Oryzias latipes: one gene and its partners. Each later gene encodes a partner of the first gene's protein in a complex. Links are inferred from orthologs where the notes say so. Each region holds a gene or a part of one and is shown in the gene's direction. Other genes may lie near its edges. The genes, in order: naa35, naa38 and naa30.

What was found.
Region 2: the proteins of naa35 (region 1) and naa38 are in contact, whole or in part, in a cryo-EM structure (PDB 7MX2), measured with the Homo sapiens proteins. The link is inferred for Oryzias latipes from reciprocal best matches to the Homo sapiens genes NAA35 and NAA38. Residues at the interface, in NP_001308810.1 of Homo sapiens: Val30, Asp31, Ile32, Thr33, Phe36, Ala39, Cys40, Leu43, Leu45, Glu47, Leu48, Leu49, His50, Asp51, Phe54, Glu58, Ala59, Ala62, Ile63, Glu64, Met65, Met66, Ala72, Gly73, Met74, Gln306, Arg307, Leu309, Pro310, Pro311; in NP_001307854.1 of Homo sapiens: Ala41, Arg42, Leu45, Glu46, Leu48, Leu49, Arg61, Phe67, Leu68, Cys69, Thr70, Asp71, Arg72, Cys74, Ile77, Arg97, Val98, Leu99, Gly100, Leu101, Ala102, Met103, Val104, Pro105, His108, Ser111, Ile112, Glu113, Val114.
Region 3: the proteins of naa35 (region 1) and naa30 are in contact, whole or in part, in a cryo-EM structure (PDB 7MX2), measured with the Homo sapiens proteins. The link is inferred for Oryzias latipes from reciprocal best matches to the Homo sapiens genes NAA35 and NAA30. Residues at the interface, in NP_001308810.1 of Homo sapiens: Leu45, Gly46, Leu48, Leu56, Ala59, Met60, Ala62, Glu64, Lys69, Glu121, Phe313, Pro314, Arg315, Ala444, Leu510, Glu511, Leu512, Glu517, Pro605, Lys606, Phe607, Glu608, Leu609, Asp610, Val614, Arg615, His618, Arg619; in NP_001011713.2 of Homo sapiens: Glu221, Pro238, Ser240, Tyr242, Thr243, Arg245, Tyr246, His249, Asn250, Lys304, Ile324, Glu334, Asn335, Leu336, Gly337, Val339, Arg340, Asp341, Lys342, Arg343, Phe345, Arg346, Tyr347, Tyr348, Leu349, Leu359, Trp360, Leu361, Arg362.

Annotation. Positions count from the first base shown.
Region 1 is NC_019867.2:10,970,488-10,978,132, forward strand, and holds the end of naa35 (N-alpha-acetyltransferase 35, NatC auxiliary subunit), read left to right. Parts: intron 1-35; coding exon 36-79; intron 80-158; coding exon 159-209; intron 210-611; coding exon 612-695; intron 696-896; coding exon 897-1,011; intron 1,012-1,213; coding exon 1,214-1,392; intron 1,393-1,534; coding exon 1,535-1,594; intron 1,595-1,771; coding exon 1,772-1,878; intron 1,879-2,922; coding exon 2,923-2,989; intron 2,990-3,178; coding exon 3,179-3,277; intron 3,278-3,471; coding exon 3,472-3,650; intron 3,651-3,741; coding exon 3,742-3,878; intron 3,879-5,136; coding exon 5,137-5,204; intron 5,205-5,616; coding exon 5,617-5,757; intron 5,758-5,850; coding exon 5,851-5,973; intron 5,974-6,821; coding exon 6,822-6,902; intron 6,903-7,467; coding exon 7,468-7,527; downstream 7,528-7,645. UniProt on the Homo sapiens protein: Auxillary component of the N-terminal acetyltransferase C (NatC) complex which catalyzes acetylation of N-terminal methionine residues. N-terminal acetylation protects proteins from ubiquitination and degradation by the N-end rule pathway.
Region 2 is NC_019876.2:17,554,765-17,563,151, forward strand, and holds naa38 (N-alpha-acetyltransferase 38, NatC auxiliary subunit), read left to right. Parts: upstream 1-3,060; 5' UTR 3,061-3,073; coding exon 3,074-3,178; intron 3,179-3,492; coding exon 3,493-3,667; intron 3,668-4,790; coding exon 4,791-4,915; 3' UTR 4,916-5,406; downstream 5,407-8,387. Other genes in the region: dnaJ homolog subfamily C member 3, read right to left, coding at 6,846-6,991, 7,264-7,412, 7,477-7,609, 7,684-7,804.
Region 3 is NC_019882.2:10,203,872-10,212,082, forward strand, and holds the start of naa30 (N-alpha-acetyltransferase 30), read left to right. Parts: upstream 1-4,087; 5' UTR 4,088-4,414; coding exon 4,415-5,143; intron 5,144-7,001; coding exon 7,002-7,125; intron 7,126-8,211. UniProt on the Homo sapiens protein: Catalytic subunit of the N-terminal acetyltransferase C (NatC) complex. Catalyzes acetylation of the N-terminal methionine residues of peptides beginning with Met-Leu-Ala and Met-Leu-Gly.

The DNA of each region.
Region 1 (7,645 bases):
CCCCTCTCATTGTCTTATGTGACATGTTTTAACAGGTATGCTGAGAGATGTGGAGGATGAGTTACAGAGGAAAGTTAAGGTATGTGCTACTACTGCAAATTCTTGCTGTATGTGTATTCCAGTACTTCATGTTTCCTGTACATCTCCTGCTGCTGCAGAGCACTCGCAGTCGGCAGGGTGAGCAGAGAAATCCAGAGGTTGAGCTGGAGGTGAGTTGATTACCTATCCAAGTGTGTGGAATGTTTCAGATGTAGATTTTCTTGTCAGATATTAAAAGTTGGAATAATATTTGATAAACCTGAAACATGTTTATTTTACACAGATTAGTTTATTGTTTTCCAAAAGTCTTGCCCTGAAGTCCATACCAAATGTAGCGTGGTCTCTGCTGTGTTTTGTTTACCGTGGTTCCTGTCAGAGTGTGGGATTCCGATGACCTTTAGTGATTCTGCTCTGGGAAATTCCAGCAGTCCTGATGGTATTAAGAGGAAAAAAATGTAGACCCCGAAATAGACTTCTCTGGGTGGTCAAACCAAAAATAAAACTCCTCCTTCCTTGTGGAGCTTTGAAACATGCCCCGTAATAATAGCTCTCCAATGTTTTTCCGTGTGCAGCACCAGCACTGTCTGGCTCTATTCAACCGAATCAAGTTTACACGCCTCCTACTGTCGGCTCTGATCGCCTTCACTAAAAAAGAGGTAATGTTCAGTTAGGAAAGAGTTTTTTCTATTTTAGAATTGAATCCAGCTATAAGTTGTTTCTCTAATTTAATATTTTTTTTAAATGCAACAGCTTGTATATTTTCCACCTTAATGTATAGGTTATTGTTTATCAATGCCTAACACACACACACTTTAGTTTTTTGTTTTTTTTTTCCTTTTTGTTGTCGTCCTCATCAGACCAGCTCAGTAAACGAGGCTCAGAAGCTTGTGACTCAGGCTGCTGACCTGCTGTCCTCCATTCATTCCAGTATTCAACATGGCATCCAGTCCCAAAACGACACCACCAAAGGCGGTAAAAAACACACTGATCTACTAAAACACTGAACCAAGTCAGAATAGCATCATACATTTTCTTCCCTGCACCATTTTTTAATGAAAATAAATACTTGGGAGGTTTAATTTTATTCTGAAAACTTTACTTTTTTTTTTTTTTAAATTAACGTTAGCTTTATTTTGGCTCATTCTTGTGTTTTTTTGTCCGTCCTCTTCTACAGACCACCCTATCATGATGGGCTTTGAGCCCTTAGTCAACCAGCGGCTGCTGCCGCCCACCTTTCCACGCTACGCCAAAATCATAAAGAGGGAAGACATGGTGGCCTACTTCAGCAAACTCATCGAGCGTATTAAGACTGTGTGTGACGTTATCAACACCACAAACCTGCACGGAATACTGGTGAATGCATAACTTTCAGTAACCCTAAAGAAGGAATATGTTCATTTCTTCTTTTACATTTGTGTGTTTTCTTACGTTGTGTCTAAATACAATTTGGTGGCAAAGGTTTGCTCACGCTGACTAGAGTCTCTGTGTTTACCAGGACTTCTTCTGTGAATTCAGTGAGCAGTCCCCCTGTGTGCTCTCCCGGTCCCTTCTCCAGGTAGACTACCGTTTGGATTTGACTCCCATAAATGCAATTTATTCACATATATGATTTGTTTTGAGAAAGTGATCCAGCTTTATGATGATGTATTCAAGGGGAAATACATCCCTTCAACCATCTGAAAATGCTTGCCATAACAGTTCTTTTTCCCCGTCTTCTCTTAAACAAATTCAGACGACGTTTCTCATCGACAACAAGAAAGTGTTTGGAACCCACCTCATGCAGGACATGATTAAAGATGCTCTAAGATACTTTGTCAGCCCTCCTGTCCTATCAAACAAGTAAGTTCCTTGATGTTATTTTTGTTATTGACCATTGATTTGATCAGGTATCATCTTTTGAGCTATTGTCAAAGAGTTTCCACAGGTCTTTTGATTATGGTTTTGCCGTTTTTAGCCAAAATCAAAAACCCTGTTTTGTTTTCTAGGACATAGTTTCTGCAGAGCAGCAGTAGTTCATTAAAAAATTAGCCTATGAGTTGTGCGCGGGACGTTGGTGTGGAGCAAGCCCCACCCCCCCTTCCTCTCCCCGTTGGTGAGAGCTCAGAGCAGGCAGACCCATATGTCACAAATTAGCTTTTTTTTCTTTCATCTGCTCCTGATTCACAACAATTTAAGCAAAGAAATACTCAGAAATGCAGATTTAAGCTTGAATTATTTTACACATGTCCTCCATCATCAAAATGATGCCTCAAGAGCATGTTAAAAACACCAAAAACACAATTTTAATCGGCCTTTTTCTCAGTAACCTTCTTACACCCACAGAATGTGATCTCTTTAACCTTGCTCAAAATAGACACAGGCAGACTAATTGTCAGAGAAATACAACAACCGTAGCCAAGTAAGATAATATTGTTTTTCCTACTGAGCCGACTGGAATATTTAGATTGATGTATTGAATATCCACAGAGCTATTCCAGGTGCAAAGACGAGGGTTTCCATGTTGGAGCAGTTTAACAGTGAAGCTCCTACTGCATGCAATGACTGTGGAGCCCAAATAAACATTAGATCACTGCACGCAGCACCGCAAACATGTGAAACATGGCAGAACACAAAGAGACTTGTAAGACAACAGCAACACGCACAGCTTTAGTGATAATGTCACTGCCCCACAGTGGGCTGGTGAGCCAGCAGGCCAGCTTAAACCCACTGTGCTATTATGGGTTGTGATAATGAGGCTGGGTGACACACCTGTCATGTGCCGCTCAGAGGCCGGGTTTAGCTGTGCCTCAGCCGAATCCGTCCATGTTTTGGTTGCTCACAGCTGTAAGTTTTGGTTTTAGTACATCTTTTTAAATGCTTCTTGATTCTGTGTTTCATCTGCAGATGTTGTTTGTTCAACAACCACCAGGCCAAGGACTACATCGACTCCTTTGTCACACACTGTTCTAGGGTACGTTACCCTTTGTCTTGTGTTTTTGTTCAGCGTTTTGACTTCAAATGCTTCTCCGGTGCGGACATTTAAATCAGAGTTGTTCATTTCTTGGTGTTTTGTGCATTTGAACAGAAAAGTATACAGAATACTTCCAGATCTTTGAAAGTCAAACTGTAATGGCATGTTTATTTGTCTTTGTCCGAGCAGCCTTTCTGCAGCCTTATTCAGATCCATGGACACAACCGAGCTCGGCAGAGAGACAAGCTGGGGCACATACTCGAGGAGTTTGCCACGCTGCAGGATGAAGTGAGCCTCAGCTGCTTCCTTTGATCCACGACCCCCACACAGTTTCCCTTTTTTTATTGCTTAAATGCAGTTTGAATCTCAAATAGGTGGAAAAACAAAGAGCAAATTTGTCCTATGCACCACTCCACATTCCTGTGTTGTACCGTCTCTCATATCTATCATTTTTTTGCACTGAAGTTGGTTTTTGCTTGCAGGCTGAGAAGGTGGACGCCGCATTGCACAGCTTACTAATGAAACTCGAGCCTCAGCGACAACACCTAGCCTGTCTTGGTACTTGGATCCTCTATCATAACTTAAGGATCATGATCCAGTATCTGCTGAGTGGCTTTGAACTGGAGCTTTACAGCATGCATGAGTATTATTACATCTACTGGTAAGGGCCATGGGTCTAAAAAAACTGCTTCTGGCACAAAGAGAGCACCAACTCTGCCCATGTTATATCTGCTCTCATTTTGCACTTGTAGGTACCTTTCAGAGTTTCTGTACGCATGGCTAATGTCCACTCTGAGCAGAGCAGATTCTTCTCAGATGGCAGAGGAGCGAATCCTGGAGGAGCAGCTGAAAGGGCGCAGCAGTAAAAAGAGCAAAAAGAAGAAGAAAGGTGTGCCAAATTCTCTAAAGCAGTGGTCCCGGTACCGGTCTGTAGGCCACTGAGTACCAGGATGTAACTTCGATTATTTCAGTTTGTTTATTTTCTGATACTGAAGGAAGTTTTATTTTTGGAAAACGACCAGATTCTGTTCATCACATCTGACTATCTTGATGCATCATGGGACTTTTAGCAGACTGCTAAGTTAGTAGCCCAAAGCTAATGGAAAATGAACAATAAAAACGTATTTGGAAAGTTTCTTTGGAGAAAAGACCCAGTGAGGAAACCAAATAAGGATCTTCAACTTCAAAGAAAAATCAAAGCTATTTACAGACAAAACCAGGAGTTTTTCTCCAAATACGGATTTAATGAGACAGTTGTTCCCACGTACCAGAAGCTGCTGTACTTCATGGGCGGCGACTGATTCTCAAATGTTTCACATGTGCAGATAATAAAGATGCAGACACTGTGGATTCACCTTTAGGATTATACTAAGAAAATACCAGTTTTATGAGGATTGTGTTATTTTATTTTGCCTCATTTGTCCATAACATCTTAAAAGTCAGTCACTGCTAAACTTTGCATTCGGTTGTTAGCATCGACTTTGCTGTCTTCATCTTCATCACAAAGTCTAAGTTTAAACCAGCCACAAACGTTTTACAGAGAATAAAGATTCAATCAAATAATGTTGCCGACCTGCTGAAGATGTTTCTGATCTGAGTTTCTGAAGTTTCTGAGGAAACTTGTAAAAGGGAGATTAAGGGTGAATAAGTCAAGCAGCTGTTTAGAAACTTTAGCACAGAAAATGTTCTTGTTAAAATGTTAAAAATCAGGATCTATGCAAAAACAAGATTTAAAAAAATATTTTTGCTCTGAAATATGACCTGATATGACTGGACCTTAAGTTCTTAATGTTATGACATTCTATGGGGGGATAAAACTGTTGTTTTTATTAAATTTTAAAGAATCAGAAATAACCTCTACAAAGACTTTTCCTTCACCAAATTCTGACATCGGCAAAATAAAATCTACTGATGCTTTCAGATTATTTTAAACAAAATTGCTTGTAGTGGCATTTTAACGTGAAAAATAGGTTTTTACTAGAAGCTGAAAAATTTTACACTCCAACTTTGGACCCGTCTGCCTGACATTAAACCGATCTGCGGCCTGAAAAAGGTTGAGGACCACTGCTTTAAAGAAATATAGACACCAGGAACACACAGAAATGATGTTTAGCTCGGGATAAGTTCCCATTTTGTTTGTTTTACAGTTCGGCCTCTCAGTAAGGAGATCACCATGAGTCAGGCGTACCAGAATATGTGTGCAGGCATGTACAAGGTAGGAAAGAACCTGATCTTGAAAATGGTGTTTTTGATATTTTTAACATGTTCTTGTGGTATTTCTCTGACGATAGAGGACATATATGAGGAAAATTGAGCCGAAAATTGCATTTCTGTATATTCTTTTATTCAAATCGTTGTGAATCAGGAGCAGACAAAAGAAAGACGGAGAAAAAAGCTTATTTGTGGCGTAGAAAATACGTTATGTGGGCTTCAAGCTCCCTGCTCTAAATTGTCAGCAACAGGGAGGGGAATGGGGAGGGGGCTGCAACCTAGAAAACGACACAGGGTTTTTGATTTTGTAGTATTCAGTGATCACTGATCAGCAATCGATCAATAGATTGTTGGATTGGAACTTTAAACAGGCATAAAGTGTGACTTCTGTCCCCCACCTCATTCTCTCCTCTAAGACCATGGTAGCTTTGGACATGGATGGGAAGGTACACAAGCCTCAGTTTGAACTGGACAGTGAACAAGTTCGCTACGAGCATCGCTTTGCCCCCTTCAACAGTGTGGTCACCCCCCCGCCTGTGCACTACATCCAGTTCAAGGTACCCCCCATTGTGCCCATTCTTTTCTTTTTCCTTCTTTGTATATTTGCAACCTGATGCCAACTTCCAGTTTTCTCTTGTTTCTTTCTCCAGGAGATGTCTGATCTGAAGAAGTACAATCCTCCTCCAGGCTCTGCAGATCTCTACCTGGCAGCTAGCAAACACTTTCAACAGGCCAAACTCATACTAGAAAATGTGCTGAGCCCGGACCCCGAGGTCAGGATGAATTACATTCACTGTTAAAACACCAACCTTTTCTATATGAACCCCACCGGGCTGAAGAGTAGTTCAGTCAATGATGAGTTCTTCAGCTTATGAGCCTTAATTGGACTGGATAGGATAACTTGAACAAGTAATATCTCTCTTATAGACAGATTTTTGGAACAAAATAGCAAAGACCAGACATCTAAATAGTTTAAATCAAAATAAGAATGGCTCTACAGTGTTCTCTTATTGATCACACGGAGCTAAAAATCCCCCCCTGACAGATGTTTTAAGGCTGTAAAGCTCCTCACTACTCACTTTATGCACTTTTCTACCTCGCTTAAACTTTCTAAGTTTCATAGAAAATGAGTTCAGTTTTAAAGAATGAAAACAAACATTTATGTAAATTTGACAAGCTGAAAACATTCAGAGACAGGGCACAGGGAGATTGATTGACAAGGTCAACAACCAATCAGGACGCAGAATGCAGTGCACTGTGGGGAAAAAAAAGCATGCAAAGTTGCACTGGTAAAACGATCTGCAATGCAGTGAGATCCACTGTGATCCACTGTATTTAGAACAACCAATCACCCTTAGATCTTAAATAAAACATTTTGTTTATTTAATAAATGGATGAAATGTATTCCAGACTTAGCCCAATCAATAAAAATAAATACAGACACCCACTACATTAAGAATGCACAATGTTAAGAATACAAAAGTTAAGAATACGAAAGTTAAATAATAAAATATATGATTATATAAATGATTATATCCTTTAATCTTTGTGTTTTCATTGCTTTCTAAATGTAGTGACAGTGATAAAAAATAAGCTAACATTTTGTACCATTTCCACTCAGGTGAACCGCATACTGAAGGTAGCCAAGCCCAACATTGTAGTTATGAAACTTCTGGCTGGAGGCCACAAGAAAGAAACAAAGGTAACACACCTGTCACCTGTGAATGCACGCTTTTTATTTGTTGTGTTACACACCTGGCTTAAAAAACATGTTAAAAAAAAGTCTCAGTGGCGTAGTAGTAGAGTGTCTGCCCTGAGATTTCTATACGTGGTTCAAATCTACAGTTAAGCCATGCCAAAGACGACTAAGGGTTGGATTGGAGCTTTGACCCTGGAGAACCCAAGAGCAATTTTCTTGTGAATTAAAAAAACAATGTGACTTTTTTTTCTTGTGTATTCATTTTAAGTTGCAGCAATTAACAGTTGCCAAAAAAATAAAGAAAAGAAAATGAAAAAATAAACAGCAGCCTAATCAGACCCTATAAATTCTCCAGGAATCAAATTCTAAATGGTTCCATAGTCAAACTGAGACTGCAGCTTAGCTCTCCGTGAAACACAGAACACATCTCACACTGAGATAGTGGAACTTTTAGGTCACTTGAGATGAAATGATTTCCTATATGACTAACCAGTGTCAATACATAGAGAGGTCTTGAATCACATTTGTTCAGTACTCTGATTACTTTTATGCATTTTTCTGTACCCAGGTGCTTCCAGAGTTTGACTTCTCGGCTCACAAGTACTTCCCTATTGTAAAGATCATCTGATTCCTCCAAGTGTTCCTCACCTGAGTTTGTGTACAGAGGTCCTGAACCAGTCCTTGGCCAAACACTGTTGTGTGATACTCAACTATAATCTCATGTAGAGAAGTGACTGAGTGAGATC
Region 2 (8,387 bases), on another chromosome or scaffold:
TTCTCAATGCTACACAAGGACAAATTCATGTTTTTTTTACAGATCATTTGCTTTGAGTGTACTCACTTTATACACGTTCATACTCTTAACAGTAGATTGACTCTTTTACACCTTGTAACTGCTGTTTCTACAATCTAGTATTATTTTTAATTATTTTCAGATTGTTTTCCATTTTTATACTTAGGTTCTTGTTGGTCAGTTGTCCAATACAATTCACTACATGTCGCATGTTGTACTAAGTATAAAGATGTATGTGACACCGGACACTTCCTTGTGTTTTTTATTGTTTATTTTAGTGGTATTTATTTTCTGCCTCCATCTATCTATTCATCCATCCATCCATCCATCCATCCATCCATCAAGTTTCAAATACTAAAATACAATTTTTGAGGGTTGCAATAAAGACTCTTGTTCTGTTCATTTCCGGTGCAGACAGAGGGAAACCATCGTGTAAAGCACGGTGGTGGAAGGATGATGGTTTGGGTATGCTTTGCTAAGAAAGCTTGCACTCTGAGTTGATCTTAAGCGAATTAGTTAGTTCCACAATGTTCTAATCAGGTTCAGCCCACAGACCCATTCAGACGCCGCTGGTCTTTGACGGGCTGCACACAACCAAAACCACAAACGTCTCCATGAAAAGAAGACATCTGATGTGAAAAAGGGTGGACCGGAGGTGCTGCACACTGACAGAGACTGATGAAGTGAAACTACAGTCAACCACAACAGTGAAGCAGAAGACATCAATCAGTTTGGAAGTTCTTATTTTAGCCTAAATAAAGATTTGTGTCTTTTGGCTCACGTTAAGCTGGAAGTTTAGACTGATTTTAGTAAAGTATTAGCTTGATGGACGACCTTTAAATCACCTTCAGAATGCTCTAGAAGAGGAAGATGCTTCCAACTCACTGCTTTAATATGGCAGTAAAACCACTGTTCAGCATCTCTGAGCAGTTCCTACTGACCTGTAAGTTTAACCAGACACAGAGGAATTTTTTCACAAAGTTAAAAATGATTTGTAAAATCCCTCGGCTATTTTGGAAAAGTAGTTTTTAGATCCTTTATGGTGAAAAACAGATTTCTCCACAGACACTTTTTTATTTAAGTGTTGTGGAACAGAAGCCAATTTGGTCATTTTTTTCATCAGTCCATGAGTTAAATGGCAAACATCTAGATCATGAGCCTGAAACACACGGTAAGAACCTCCACCTCTGTGCTTCATAGTTGAAAAACCAAAGTGTATGTTTTATTTATTTATTTAGACTTTTTTTTTTTCCAAAAGTCGCATGGGAGTTTTTCAGATTAGGTTGTGCCTTATTTTTTTAATCCAAATTAGATGCTTTTTTAAATTCAATTTTTTGGTTAACATAACAAAAACTCAAATCAAATAAGTTTTCTTTCTACAGTGTAAAGGTCACTCTGCGTTTTATTTCACACTTTCAATATATTTATAAAAAGATTTCTTAATGTTCTTAATGGACAAAGACCTAATTTGTCCTAACCGTTGTTTTGTCATAACTACCAGGTAATTGTTTTGAGCCACCATAACCCGACCCGACCCCCCCCCCCCTAGCCAGGATTCCGACCTTGGTGGCCAATGGGCACAAAGCTCCCCTGTCACATAAAGTTAGGCTCAGCAGTGAAAACTGTGAAAGTCTGAATTAAAATTGTAGACGGAGGACTGAGAGCGAGACACGGAGCCCGTGATCTGACATGGGTAAATTCATGTGGTAAGTCACTCATAAACATGGATGTGAGCAATACTTGGATTTACAGCAGATACCTTCACATTTCTGACTGTATATATCTCAATACAAAGCATAGAAGACACAGAGGATGTTTAGAGATCCAATTTATTTATTTAAAAAAGCTCCACAAAAGCATCAATAATCCCGTTCATACACATCCCGGTACGCTCTCCCGACTGCCGCAAAAGCAGCTTTCCGCCGCTACATCTTTGTCTCTGTGACCTGCATTAATTCAAGAGGGGAAAATTAAAAACAAGAATCAAACTAGGGGATCCATTTATCACTGTTGAAAATAAGAGAAACATTGTAAGATTTAGGAGGGCCGAGCTTGTCGGCACGCCGACTTTCGGGCAGCTGGCTGGCCAGCAGGCGAAGCGTTGCTGCGGTATGTGGCGTTGCATTTTAGGGTCGAACAGGAATAATAATATCCATGACGTGCTGAGGTAACTTGTCTTTTAGTAACAGTTAGCAGTTACTTTACACCCGAAGGCTTCATGCTACTTATCCCATCATGCATCACACATATCCCATAACGCATCTCGACCAATCAACGTGTCACTGTAAGTGAGGTTGCTTTCAAATACAACAGGATAAATGTATATCTGAATTTTATTTTTTTGAGGCAAGTAATTATTATTATTTACCCATGTTAGCTCACAGGCTCCGTAGTGAGGAAAGAGAAACATAAACAGCTGTTATCGAAAAAACTGTTTTTTTTTAACGTTTAAAATTTACAATTTAGTTTTACAATGTTCAATACTTCTTACAGGTTTACAATGTGTACTTTGAGTTTAAAACTGTTGTCCAGTTATTCAATTTACAACGTCAGTTTTCTTCCAATTCACAATCTGGTTTTTTATTCATTTTAAGCTGATCCTAATTTAGCCCCATAGAAATGTTCAATCAATCAGTCAATCAATCAATCAATCAACTAATCTTTTCATTTTTTTATGTCTTCCATTGTTCCCTCCAGCGTCCCATAAAGCAACTAGTGAATCTAGTCATAAATGTAATTTTTCTGACCAAATCCCAAACTTTTCTTTATTTTTGTTTCAGGTCTGTTTATTTGTAAAATCAAGTAGTTTAAAACAAAAAGCCAAAAAGCTTGAAAATATCCCAACATAAACTTTTTAAAAATGCTAAATCTGTAAAGTTTTGTTAAATCTAGTTTTACATACCCATGTAATTTTACATATTCATTTCTACCTCTGGCACTTTATATTATTTTTATTCCTTGTTTATATGTTTGGATTAATGTCTGTTGTATATTTATATTTTTGTACGGTACCTGGCATTTATAATAACGTTTCTGGAGGGGGAAAAAATGTCAAATGCGACCTACTTCCGGTCCAGCTGGTCCGTCGGTAAATTTGTTCCGCAAGAAACAAGAAAAGGTTATGGCAACAATAATCGAGGAAAACGGTCCTTCGACTCGAGTATGTATTTGTCATGTTTTTGTGTAACGATATTTACATTTTTTTCATTACACTATTTTTTTTAAAAAAAGGAAGAAAACAAATGATAGATTAGAAAGTGATTATCGATACTTTAAGTAAGACGTTAGCCTGAAGCTAACAAAATAGCATTCTAAAAACGTGCCCTGCACAGCCATGATTATAAACAAACTAGCTACTTTGAATAAAATATGATAATTGCAATTCTTCTACAATTATTAATCGTGTTCATCGTTTTAAGATATTTTGTGATAATGTTGGCAGCAGTTCTTAGTCATTTGTGTGTGTACCTCCAGGGGCAGACCGAGGTTCCGCCTTCGTCTCAGGCCAGACAGAAGCTGGAGGGGCTCCTGAACAAGAACATGAGGATCCGCATGACGGACGGACGGACTTTGGTGGGGCTCTTCCTCTGCACGGACCGCGACTGCAACGTCATCCTCGGCTCTGCTCAGGAGTTCCTCAAATCTCCAGGTAACAAAACAAGAGGGAACCAGAGAAGACGTTATAGCTGGCCGGTTCTCCTCCACACAGAACATCGGGTTACATTTTATATTAACTGGTTATTCATCATAGTAGTAGGTTGAAAGGTTGCCATCTGGTTGGTTTTTAAAGTTGAAGACGTTTCACCTCTTATCCAAAAAGCTTAGTCAGTTCCCGAACAGAACGATGGAATCAACCCGGATGAATGAGAGTCTTCATAGACTTAACTAGTTATTACTACTCTTGTTTGTGGCTTTTCTATGTTGTTGTGGTGTCATTTGGAGATGAAATCCTCATCCCTGGTGTTTTCACAAGATGTTCAACAACGTTACATGGTTCTTCCACTAAAAAAAGTTTCAAAAACACAAACCAACATATTTAAAAAGTCTTGAAAAGGTCATAAAACCATTGACTGTATTTAGGACCTGGACTGAGTGAGTGTGATGTCATCCATAGAAAGCGCCTTACCTCCAGGTCCAACAAAATGGACTGGCGCCATTTTATTTGCGAAACGCCGCCATGTTGGAGCCATACGAGGTCAGTGAACGGTGATTTGTCCGAACCAATGGCAACCACTCTAACCAAACAGGAGTGAGCTTGTTGGAAGACCACACCCCATCCACGTGAAAGCAGGCTACACATCTGCCAAACATTTTGAACATTTGTTTTAAGACCACATGCTTTTATTGAGGCACCTGATTGGTCAGTTTATAACTTAAATAATTTGCGCTACAGAGAAAAAGATTAATAAGAACATGTTTAAAAAAAGGTAGCAGAGCAAGAATGGTAGTTCAGACTGAGTAATGGCTGTTTATTTCTCAGTTGAAGTTTATGGGAAGTTGAAGTTCAGCTTCTTGGAGCCAGCGGCTACTTCCTGTTTGGAACGTGAGGAGGGAGGGGTCACTCAGTCCAGTTCTCATATACAGTCAGATTTAGACCACCTTTAGCCACTGTACCAGGAGAAACGTTTTAGTGGAACATTCCTGAGTCGCGAAATGTTTTTTTTTTTTCTTTCTACCTTTAAAACTCGGACTCGTAGTTCTAGAGGCTGAGGTTTAAGGCGGTTTTCCCCCCTGAAAAGGAGCATTGATGCTACCATGTCCTCTTTCCTCAGACACGTTCTCTCAGGGTGAACCCAGAGTGCTGGGCCTGGCCATGATCCCCGGCCACCACGTGGTGTCCATCGAGGTGGAGGCCGACAGTCTAGAGGACGCTCACGGATTTGGAGCCATCTGCTGAGGAAGCCTGGGACATTTGCAGACTTCAACACCCATCATGCTTTGCTGCTGGACAGTTGGACCGCTGGTGTTGGTGGATCACAGAACGTTTGGATTCAGCCGTTCCCTCAAAGACTGACAGGAAGGTTCTGCCGGCTGCAGGAGTGGAGACAGACTGAGATTAAACGTCTCTGCCGGAGTGGTTTTAAAATAAAAGTTCTGTTTGAAGCTTTGGATTCCTGCAGAACCGTATGAGAAATGTGGACCATATTTAGGATTTTAAACTGATTATGATCACATTTTATTTTAGAAATTCTTTCAAAAGTGAAGCCAGCAATGTCTTCGTTTATTGCTGCCATTTTGGCTGACGTGTGACATCACAGAACTAGTCTTTTTTTCAAAATAAAAGTATATAGGCAGGACAAACAGGCTTTTTAGTTTTCAGTCAGAAGACTAACCTTTGCAATCTTTATGTTTATGAATAAAATGAAAATAAAACTTTACAGTTATGTATATTGTATCAAGTCAAACAAACGTTTTGGGAAGTGGACCAAATTTATTGGATTACTTTAAAAGCGAAGGCAGCGATGTCCGTTGCAAAACTGACATCACCAAACCCTAATCTTTTCAAAATAAAAGTACGTTTTGAATTGGTCAAAAAATCGTTCACGATTTTTAAGTTCATATGTAAAATTAGTATTTCAAAGTAAAAGTTTGAGTACATTATGGATATTGTAACCAGCAAAGAAGAGATGTTTTTTGAGCAAGACTAAATATTTTTGTTTTGAATTTATGCCTTAAACCTGAACTTCTTTTAGTTTCCTTAGTGAACTTCACCTTTTTCTAATTACTTTGGTTTTTTTAACCTGCTTCAACCCGGAAGTTGAATTTCTTCCCGTTTGTCTCAAGGGACTTCTAAAGATATAAAGATGCACATGCATGCATTAAGTTTTTCCTCTTTTTTTTTAATTAACTTTATTTAAAAAGGGACTAAACAAGAAAGAAAAACAAACGAATGAGGTAAAAGGAGTGCAAACGAATCATTTACATGTTTTATTACACTCAAAACATGTCAGCAGGTTCAGTTTGGCAACAGTAAATCGATGCCGTCAACAAATGAGACTTCATCTTTAAATACGGTCACATTAAAGTCCACACAGTAAGCCGTAGAACCAGTTCCATTTCTTAACCTGGTAAAAATAACTTAAAGTTGTGCAAACAGAAATAAAATGGAGATGGGGCGTAACATGGTTTTTCATGGCAGCACCTACAGCCGTCACGTTTTCTTTCCTCAAACTTCCGCCTTAAGTTTTCCGCCTTCGCATAAACATTCTCCGCGTCTTTGTGAAATACAGACGCCGCAGAAACTCGAGCTCCGGCTCTGCAGAACATCTGACTTGTTCTAATTATAAAGCAGTTTCTGGGATGGCAACCAAAGAGTCTTCAGGTTCTCTGAAGGACTTTTAAAAAGCTCCAACTTCTCTCCATTTGTGGACGTTTGGAGATTAAAGCCTTTGAACCTAAATATATTTGCAGCTTTTTTTTATTTTGATCATCTTTTTTTTGAAAGGCCAATGAGCTGCAGTTTAAAGCAGAAAACTGCAACGACAGAGTTCCATCCACAGGATTTCAACCTTCAGAAGTTTCACGTTTGAACCTCATCGTTTCTTTGGAAGCTCCTCAAAGTCTTTAAATAGAAAGAGGAGACTCCAAAATGTCACATTTGAGAAAAAAAGAATCCTAAGAGGCAAACCTGCCTGTAGACGATTCAAAAATGGCACAAAGTGCTTCAGTTTCCTGTAACCACCACCTTTAGGTTTCCTAGAGTCTTCCTCTGGATTCAGAGGAAGGTCCAGATTGAAGAAGAAGAAAAGTCAGAAGTTTTGAAACTGCACCAACGTAGATGAAGACGTCCTGAGGAGTCCGTCCCCAATCCACAAACCTCCTGGGGTCTAGTTGTACTCAAACTTGAAGTGGAAGCTGCCTCCAGAATCAAAGGGGTTGAAGTGGAAAGGCCACGGCCTCTGACCGCCGCCTCCGCCCTGCTGGTTCTCCGGGTCCAGAGGATCCTCGCCCGAGTCGAACTTCTGTCTCATTTCTGGAATCGGATGAAAGGAGGAACAAGAAAACATTGTATTCATAACACCGAAAACTTGTAATCAAACACGTGAAAAATGTCGAGTGACAGGCTCAGTCAAAGGCCCTCAACACCATTAGTCTAGCTTTTATTTTGACTTCAAAGACAAATACTTTTGTTGGCAAATTCTAAACCTTCATCCTGTTTCTGGTTCTTTTCAGTCGAGCTAAACTCCAGTTTCGCTTTAGTCCGGACGATTGAAAGGAAACAGAAGAGTGTGAATGACTGCTGACCGGGGTCGGTGAGGACCTCTTTGGCCGACGCGATGTCGATGAACTTCTTCTCCGCCTCCTTCTTCTCCGCCTCAGACTGGAAGTTGTCGGGGTGCCACTGCTGAGCCAGCTTCCTGTACGCTTTGATGACCTCCTGCTTGTTGGCGCTCCTGAGGACAGACGGGGATGTCAGGGAGAGTTTTTCCCTCCTGGAGGTGCCGCCGTGGGGCTTACCTGCTGACTCCGAGGATCTTGTAGTAGTCCCTCTTCTGAGAGACTTTCAGCAGCTTCTGCGCTCGCTCCAGACCCTCTTTGATGTCGTTGCTGTCGCCGTCGAACTCTCGCGCCTCCTGGTAATCCTCCACGGCTTCAGAGAAACAGAAGTGATCGTCTGAGTGATGGTGCAGAGATGGGACTCTTTTGTTTTTTCTGCTGAATTACCCTTCTCATAGTCCTGGTTGAGGATGTAGGCTTCTGCTCGGTCCCGCAGGATTTTGGCGTTGCGGGGGTCCCTCTGATGAGCCTCTGAACACACGTCGATGGCCTCGCTGACCAGGTTCAACTGGAAAAACATGAAAATATGGCTCTGAAATCCACAGGAATGCAGGGTGATTGTGTTTAAATCTTTACATTGAATAAATGTCATTGGGACCCAAAAGACAAAAATAAATAAAAAACCAAAAAAACAACCATCCCCGTCTGACAAACGCACCAACAGGTCGCTAAAGGCCGGTCAGTGGGAACCGAACCCTGACGCATCCATCTGGAAAAGGTTACAAGGTCATTTCTGCAGCCACCCACCATGGAACCAGTCCACTAAGAACCACAAAGTGTTAAAGATCTGAGAACGCCAAAATACCACGACTACAAGAGCAGATCAGCCGCTCATTTCCTCCAATCGGCATCAAGGCTAACCTCTATTCCTATTTTTTCAGTTCTATTCATGTCAATTTAGCTTAATTATTTTGGGTTCAGGGGTGGGGAGGGAGGGTTATTTTGTGTTTAACACCTTTTTTCATTTTTTAAAGCTTTTTGTTGTTTCTTTTTTTTTTAATTTAAAGATGATTTGCACTTTGTGTTACTTTTGTCATGAAGTGCTTTATAAATAAAGTTTGATTTGGTTTGAAGAGTTCACAATAAACACA
Region 3 (8,211 bases), on another chromosome or scaffold:
TTCTTTTCATTGTTTTATAACGTACTCCTGTAATTGTGCGGTGCACAGACAATCGCTATACACGTCAATAAAGCATTAAAAAAATAAAAACACTTGTCTGTCTTTTTGTGATTGAATGGCCCTAATTATAAATCTGTTTATTTCCTATATTAAACAGCTGCACTTCAATGTAAAAAGACGTTTCTATCCAGAAGGGGGCGCTCTGTATCCTTGTAAGTTAATTACATTGGTATTCACACTACAATTAATGTTTTTCTCTTTTCATTTTGTCTTTATTTGTAAACAAAAAAAAAAAAAATTTTACACATATTTTTTTAACAGGACAAAATCTAAAAGATCATAATCTGAAAATAAAAGAATTATGTTGGTGGCAGCAAAAACCCCAAGTAATGCAAAGCAGTTGCTTTAAAAAAAACACCAAATTGAACATTTTGTTTTGGAATTTCACTTTTCCAGCTACACTTTAGTTTGAAATAAAACTGTTTTCAAATTAAAAGGGCCTTTTTTTCCCCCCTCTTCGATAGATTTTTTTTTTTCATTTGTATCCTTATTGTTATAAAACATGGTATATAAAAGAAAACTTTTCTGTTTCCTGTTTCAAAACCTCAAGTTCAGCTGCTAAAAAGATCTTAAAAATGAACTGAAAAATGTACTTTAAGTCAAATTAATCACAATATTAAGTGAAAATGTGATTTTTAAAAACTAGTTTCTGGAACCAGACATTAGGACAGATAATTGACTCACAGGAAATGCAGTTTTATACAATAACACCCAGAACTCGTGAAACCCTTAAAAAAAAATCCAATTATGGTTTACAAATCTCATTCCTCAGCTTTGTTCAAATTGTGCTTATAATTCTGAGGTAGTAAGTCTAGACTCAGCGTTGATTAATGGGTAGAATATTGATTTAAAATAAAATCTTTGGCAGAAATGTACCTTTTTAATTTGAGATGGTCAAACTTAGTCTAAATTTACATTTAAAAATTCTCAATTTTTCACGAGGTTTAAAGGAAAAAAGTAATAGATTCTACACTCGAAATAGGTTATGTTTCAGATTTACTCCTAATAATGGGGTTTCTCCTGAGCTTTGCCAGTTTGTAATAAATGATTTGAAGTTTCCCTTTAATGTCATGTTTGGGATCTGCTTAGTCTTTTTCCACCCAAATATGGAAAGGAAAGAGAGATTTTTGTGTTTACCTGAAGTGGGAACATTTGACTTCTTATTACAGGATTGACAATCAGATATGGACCCGTATGATGACTGCTGTCATTTTTCTGCGCATGGATTCCTGTCAGTCATGGACAGAAATAAAGTCCCTAACAAGTTCCTGCTAAAGGTTAGATGGTCTACAAATGGGCTTCCTGCCACTGCAGACTGCTTAGGACAAATAAACTGCATCCACTGCTCTGATCAGTTTCCTGAGCTCTAATGAAAGCTTCCTACTGGAGCCATATTTCCTTACATTTTATCATACTGACTCTTTAAAAATGGTGTGCAGCAGCTTTGATTGCTTTCAAAGCCTTGGTAAGCCACATGCACACACAGTCAAGTACACAACGCAACAGGCCCCAAACTGCATCTGGTCTTTCTATGGACTGACGGACAGGCATCCGGGCATTTTATTAAAACAAAAAGTAGGATGATTGTCCAAAATCATTATCTTACGAGTCCGAGCTAATTTCTCCTGGAGAACTCGTATCACTCAGCAGCAGATGGTTCATTTCTCACCCAAATTCTTAATTGGGCTTTTCTTCTCTGCCTGTTTCCTTCACACAGACTCCTCCCTCCTCTTGCCTCACTCATTTTACACATGAAAGCAAGATGCTAATTGTCTGCTGTGGGAGTATTCAGGCTGTGATTAGTCAGACTGGGTTTGGCCTGGCTACAGTTCCTTGTGTCTGACTGTTAAGGCCCGTACACACCGGGACGAATATTCGCCAGGCGTTATTCGCCAGCGTTTTTCGCCACGTTTTTTGTGTTCACACCCAGGCGATTTTCGCTGACGATGAGTGGAGTGAACATGCAATTTCATTCCCTGACATTAGATGGCGCTTAATGTAAAACAGAAATACTCCTGTACACAAGGTGGCGCTGCGCAACTTTACGCTTCTGAAAGTCGCTTTTCACTCAGAAGAAGAGAGCAAGTATTTACACGCTTGTCAGAATCAAACAAAGAAAACATGAATATTTCAAGCACCAGTAGCTCCAACTGGTGCTTGGTTCGGGGATATTTTAGAATGTCCGTCATTATTTCTTCGCGGCAGTGTAGACGCTACTTGGCGTCTATCTTCTTCGCTGGTATGTGTGCTCAGCAAGGCAGTTTTGTGTTTGAGCGCCCCCAAGTTGTGTTTTACTGTAACTTCAGAAGCTCCAGACACGTGAGCAAAAGCGCCGTTCTCATTGGTCGAGTAGATTTCGACGCGACGCGTCGAAAAAAAAAAAACGAACCCGAGGCGTTTTTTTTTTTTTGACGCTTTAACGCCTGGCGTTTTTTCGCGTCGGTGTGCACACTCTCGTTGGTGCCCTTTGTTTAGTCACGAGGCGTTAAACGTCGGCGAAAATCGCCGGCGAAATTCGTCCCGGTGTGAACAGGCCTTTAGGCCAAAATATCAACAGCAGAAGGAAACAGGTTTTAGGTTGTTCAAAGAAACACATTAGCTGCATGACTGGTCCTGTGCTCCATTGTGTTGCCAACATTAGGTTGGTTCATCTCAGACAGGCTTAAGATAAATTACTGGATGTAAGCTAACGTTGCTTTTAAAGTTGTATTACTGACATCAATCCAATTATTTTTGTTTTGATAGATAGCTGTTCTTATGATCTCCACCTTATCCCCCAGGAGCCATTTCTGCAAAACTCCCATGTATGTGTGGGAAGCTGATTATTTTTCTTCTTTCTCTCCGGTAACTATTAGGTAGCACAAATAGTTTGGGGCGTTATGCCACCCACAATAAGCTCTGGGGTCTGCAATGAGCCGACGGACCATCCCGGGTGTACCCTACTTTAATGTTGCATAACCGCGCTTTTCTCCCGACAGGATCCACTGGAATTATGTTATTTGGGTAATAGGTCGGACAGTAACGGTAGTCGAAAAAACATCAACATTGGAGCAAAAGCTTTGATGTTAGAGGGTTAAGTGGGTTTGGAAGGTGGCTAGATGATAAGCTCAAGTCTCTTTTGAGTAATAAAACATAGCCAAACCTCCCACTTCAAACCTCACCGCAAATAATTAAAAACTCTATCTGGAAAAACAAACTGCATCCACTGCTGTCTTGTTTATTGACCCTTCTGCAACCAAAAACTATATATTTTGATAGATTTCCACTTCCATTTAAAACACTGCACTCTGATTTATATTAAATTTTGTGTTTTTATCATGGATCATTTAATCTTCCTTTAAAGACTTGCTGCAATGAAACGCGTGTTTTTTTGGTTTGTTTAACATGTTCTTGTGGCATTTTTTCTGATGATAGAGGACAAATAAACAGGAAATTAAGATTAAAACTACTTTTCTGAGTATTTCTTTATTCAAATTGTGATGAATCAAAAAAATCGTTAAAAAAAAGCCTGTAGCTGTGACGTACCCCGTTTTCTTTGTTTTCCTCGTCCAACCTGGTATCTGGCTCAAAACTGTACGGCTGGAAAGCTCTTATATTGCTCGCCATCTTTTTTTCAATGGTAATGTTAGCTTGGGGTTGTAAGGGGCTGTGAGCTAGCAGGAGAGAGTGTAAACAAAGGGATTATGGGAAGTCAGGTTGGGCTTACCATAGAAGTAAAACAGTTCCTGCAGGAATCATTTTCTAATACTGTTACAGGTAAAAGGATGAATTTACAAAGCTTAGATTTTGTTTGGGTTCTCAAACTGGGTATTGCTGCGTGTTCATGGGTTTGTGCTGATTCAATACCTTTTTTTCTCTTGTTTCTCGGTCGTTGTGTTGCATTTTTGACACCAAACTAAATAGGTCTTGAAATGCATGAAATTGTTAAATAGAAACTGAATAGTAGAGTTGTTGCACGCGGTTTAGGTCAAATATTTCCCCCCATTTATTTTAGTTTCATTGTTTATTTATTTTTTGTCAGCAAAATATTTTATTTGTGCTTGATGGGTTGTAATTTTGTGCATATACTAGTGTTTTACACAATTTCTAACCTACATTTTCACTTGTTCCTAAAACTACAACTGTCATGGCAGCTCACTGTCGCAAAACGTCCTTTGGGTGCGACAGGCACTTTACGGCAGCAGGTAGAGCAGCAGACAGCAGAGAGCCGTGGTGTTCACCGGAGGACCTTTTGGCTCCAGACTCCGAGGATTCGGGAAAAAATCTCCGAACTTCGAATCGACTGCCGGTGTTCCGCTCGGTTTCGTTGATGAGCCCGTGTCCACCGCGTGGATCTCCGCTCTAACGCAGTGGGATGGCCACAGTGCCGCCCGGGCCTAGTGAAGCTCTGCTTGCGTCCCCGGCTGACAGTCATCCCTTCTCCGGGGACAGAAGCGCGCAGCCGGTGGTGGAAGACGGACAGCCGCCCTGCCTCGCGAATGACTGCGTGTCTGCCGGCACGAGGGACGAGTCTCATCCGTTGAACGACGTTAAACGCTCGGTAAAGAGGAAGCAGAAAGGTATGCTAACTCAAACTAGCCCGGCGGTGCTGCACCTCAAGCCTCAGAGCGGAGAGCAGCAGCTGAACGGCGTGGTCAGCCCCTCCGAGGAGCCCGACGTCCGGCCCGAGAGTCTGAGGTCTCCCGCTGACACTGACAGCGGCGATGGAGCGCCGGCGGAGCGCGAAGGCCCCGTGTCCGAGAACGGCGCTCACCTTAACGGCATGCCGGACTTCTCGAGGTCCGAGGCGGCCCGCGGAGCCGACAAACACAAGCAGCCCTCCAGACCGCCAGGCCACGAGTCCCCGGACGCTGCCGGGCCCGGCGGAGAGGAGAGCTCCTCGGATCCGCCCGCCGCCGAGCTAGCCCGGCTTGACCTGAGTGGCTCTCCCGGGCCGGACAGCCACGGCATCCGCTACGTGCGCTACGAATCGGAGCTGCAGATGCCGTGGATCATGAGACTGATCACGAAGGACTTGTCCGAGCCTTACTCCATTTACACCTACAGGTACTTCATCCACAACTGGCCGCAGCTCTGCTTTCTGGTGAGTCCAACTCCGATCCCCCTCCACCCAAAAACACCTCCAAACCAGCCTGCTGCCCACGTGCCACAGGTCACATGACCACTACAAACACTCACCTGGAAAGTCTGGTTATGATCTGTTTGCTCCAGATGATTGAAATGGTCACGTGCCCAGCACAAACGCCTATAATCTGACAATGGTAGTTACCTAATTTGATGAAACTATAGCAACCAGCTAGAGTTCTCCCTAAAACTCTTAATTTACTACAACTCTTTCACTTCAAAATGTTACAAAAGCAAAAATACATCTAGACAATAGTCACAGTGAGTGATAAACAGGGGATCTAGACTTTTTCTTTGACTAATGCCCTTTCTGGGATAACTGTAAAACTATTGTCAACTGTTATTAAACATTAAAAATTGATCAAATATGGTATTGATCATTTTTGGCCATTTTTTGTTGTTGCTTTCTTTCCACACCGTTTTAAAAGCAGCAGAAAAGATCTCTGCTGTTGTATGATGCGTTTTAAATAAAGTTTTTCAAATGAACTTGATCTAAATGTAAACACATTTTGACAACATTCAAAGGTTTTTATTCATATGGTATGGTGTTAAAAGGACTCAGAGGTTGTCTTTGTTTTGTCCCTTTTAACAAATAACTTTGTTGGTTTTTGTTGTCTTAAATTCAGGATCAAAGTGTCTTCTAACAACAGTCATATAGGATTGAAGTCAATAGAAATGATGTACAAACCATTGTCTGTATATAAGAACTGGACTGAGTGACCCCCCCCCCCCCCCCCCCCCCCCCCCCCCCGGTGTTCCAAACAGGAAGTTCCGGCTGACTCCAAGAAGCCAAAATCTCATAGACTTCTATAGAGAAATAAACAGGTCAGTCTCAGTCATCAGTAAGCTCAATGCGCCTATAACAAAAGACGACATAAATGGTTACCTACAAGCCGCTTTCCTATGTGGGTCATTTGGAGAATAATTGAAGTTATGGTGAGTTTGATTCAAACAAAATGTTACAGCAAATTGGAAATGATGCATCAGTTATTTAGCTTTTCATGTATCGCAAGTGATATAGTCTTTGCAATGATGATCACTAATATCGGACATGGCGGGTTTTCCTCGTGTCGTGCAGCCCTAGTGACGGTCCAGCTCTCATATACAGGCAGTGGGATGTGTGTGTGTGGATCCCAGCATTTTCCTCCAGCTTTATTTAACCCTCGCTAGCTCCAGTGTTGACGGTCTTTCCATGCAACTCTTCAGCTGGTTTTGCAATTAACGTCATTCCAGTGGATTCTGTGGCAGAGAAAAGTAGCTCTGCGCCAAAACATTACGTTTACTGTCGTAAAGTATTGCATGTCTGTACAAAGCCCCTTTTTTCTGCGGCTGAGTCGCACTGATGGAGTAAATGGTTGAGGAGTTAACGTTATGTCAGAGAGTGTGTGTTATTCAGGTGTTGCCGGCGACTTTCCCCAGTGTTAAAAAGCTAAAAAATATCTTTTTTGTTTTGTTTTTCTTAGATATGAATGTGTGTACTTTACAAAGCATCCCTCACCTTTGACCCTTGTGCTATCTTAGATGACCCCACCCTTACATTGACATGTTCTCCCTACCATGATAAAGGTGGAAAGATTTCATGTAATCTCTGGACACCAGTGAGGATCACAAATCATTGAAGAAAAAAGGTTCAGAGCACTGTCTAGTGGGTCTAGATGACCCAACTCCCAATGGTAAAGTGCCTAGGATAGCACAAGGGTTATAGCAGACTTCAGCCTCTACTTTTTGTAGAAGTGCTGCTAGCTAGCAGCGGACCGATCTTCAACCTTCACGCAGGGCTAGAAGGACCTGAAGGCAGCATGTTTGTGTGTCCTCAGGCCATGGTGGAGCAGGAGTGTGTGGGAGCCATCGTTTGTAAACTGGACATGCATAAGAAGATGTTTCGCCGCGGCTACATCGCCATGCTGGCTGTGGACTCCAAGCACAGAAGGAAAAGCATCGGTAAGCTCTGCCTTTGTGGCAGACTTTCAAGAGGAGCTTTATTTAAAAACTATCAAATCAAATCAACCTTTATTAATATAGCACTTTTTCAACACATGTCACTCAAAGTGCTTTGCATAGAATATAATCAAACTTTAAAAACAAAATGACAAGACAAACAATGCCAACCAACCCCCCCCCACACACACACACACACACACACGCAGACACACCCACACACACACACACTCACACAGACATACACACACACACACCATGATAAAAAGAGTGATAAAATGATGCAATGTAGAGACCTGGCTTTGTCCTGAAATGGGGAAACGATATTTTGGGGACATGTCCACATCAGTGACCCCCCCACCCAAGTTCATGGAGTCCACTACCGCAGAACCCCCCAGATCCGATCGAAAGAGTCAGACCCGGGAGATCCCACTGCAGCGACCCCGTTCACTGAGAAGGTCAGTCACTGATGTGGAGGATCGCTGAGGAAAACACTAAAATATAAAAGGAATCAAATGAAGATATATTTAAAAGATGAACAAGAAACAAATAATTACATAACACCTAAATAGACACATAAAATGGTAAGTGTGACAAAAAAATTAAAAATAAATAAATACAAATAAATAAATAAATGTTTATACATACACATATAAAACTAGTAAAAGGAGAAAATAAATAATGAAAATATCAAATAAATTCATAAAATTCAACTAAAAGCTAGAGTAAAAAGGTAAGTCTTAAGCCCTCCTTTTAAAAACATTAACAGTCTCTGCGGCCCTGAGGCTCTCTGGGAGGCTGTTCCACAGGCGAGGTCCATAAAAACTGAATGAGGCCTCGCCGTATGTTTTAGTTTAACTTTTGGGATAACCAAAAGGCCGGTATCAGAGGACCTCGGGGTCCGTGAGGGCTCATACTTTAGATAAATATGAAGGCCCGAGACCATAAAAACATTTATAAACCAATAAAAGAACTTCAAAATCAATCTTGAGTTCATCTCTGAGTCAAAAATAACACCCAGGTTTCTCACACACTGAAAAGTTTTGTAAGTCTTTAGTTTAGATAAAACAATCTCTCTCTTGTCTTCAG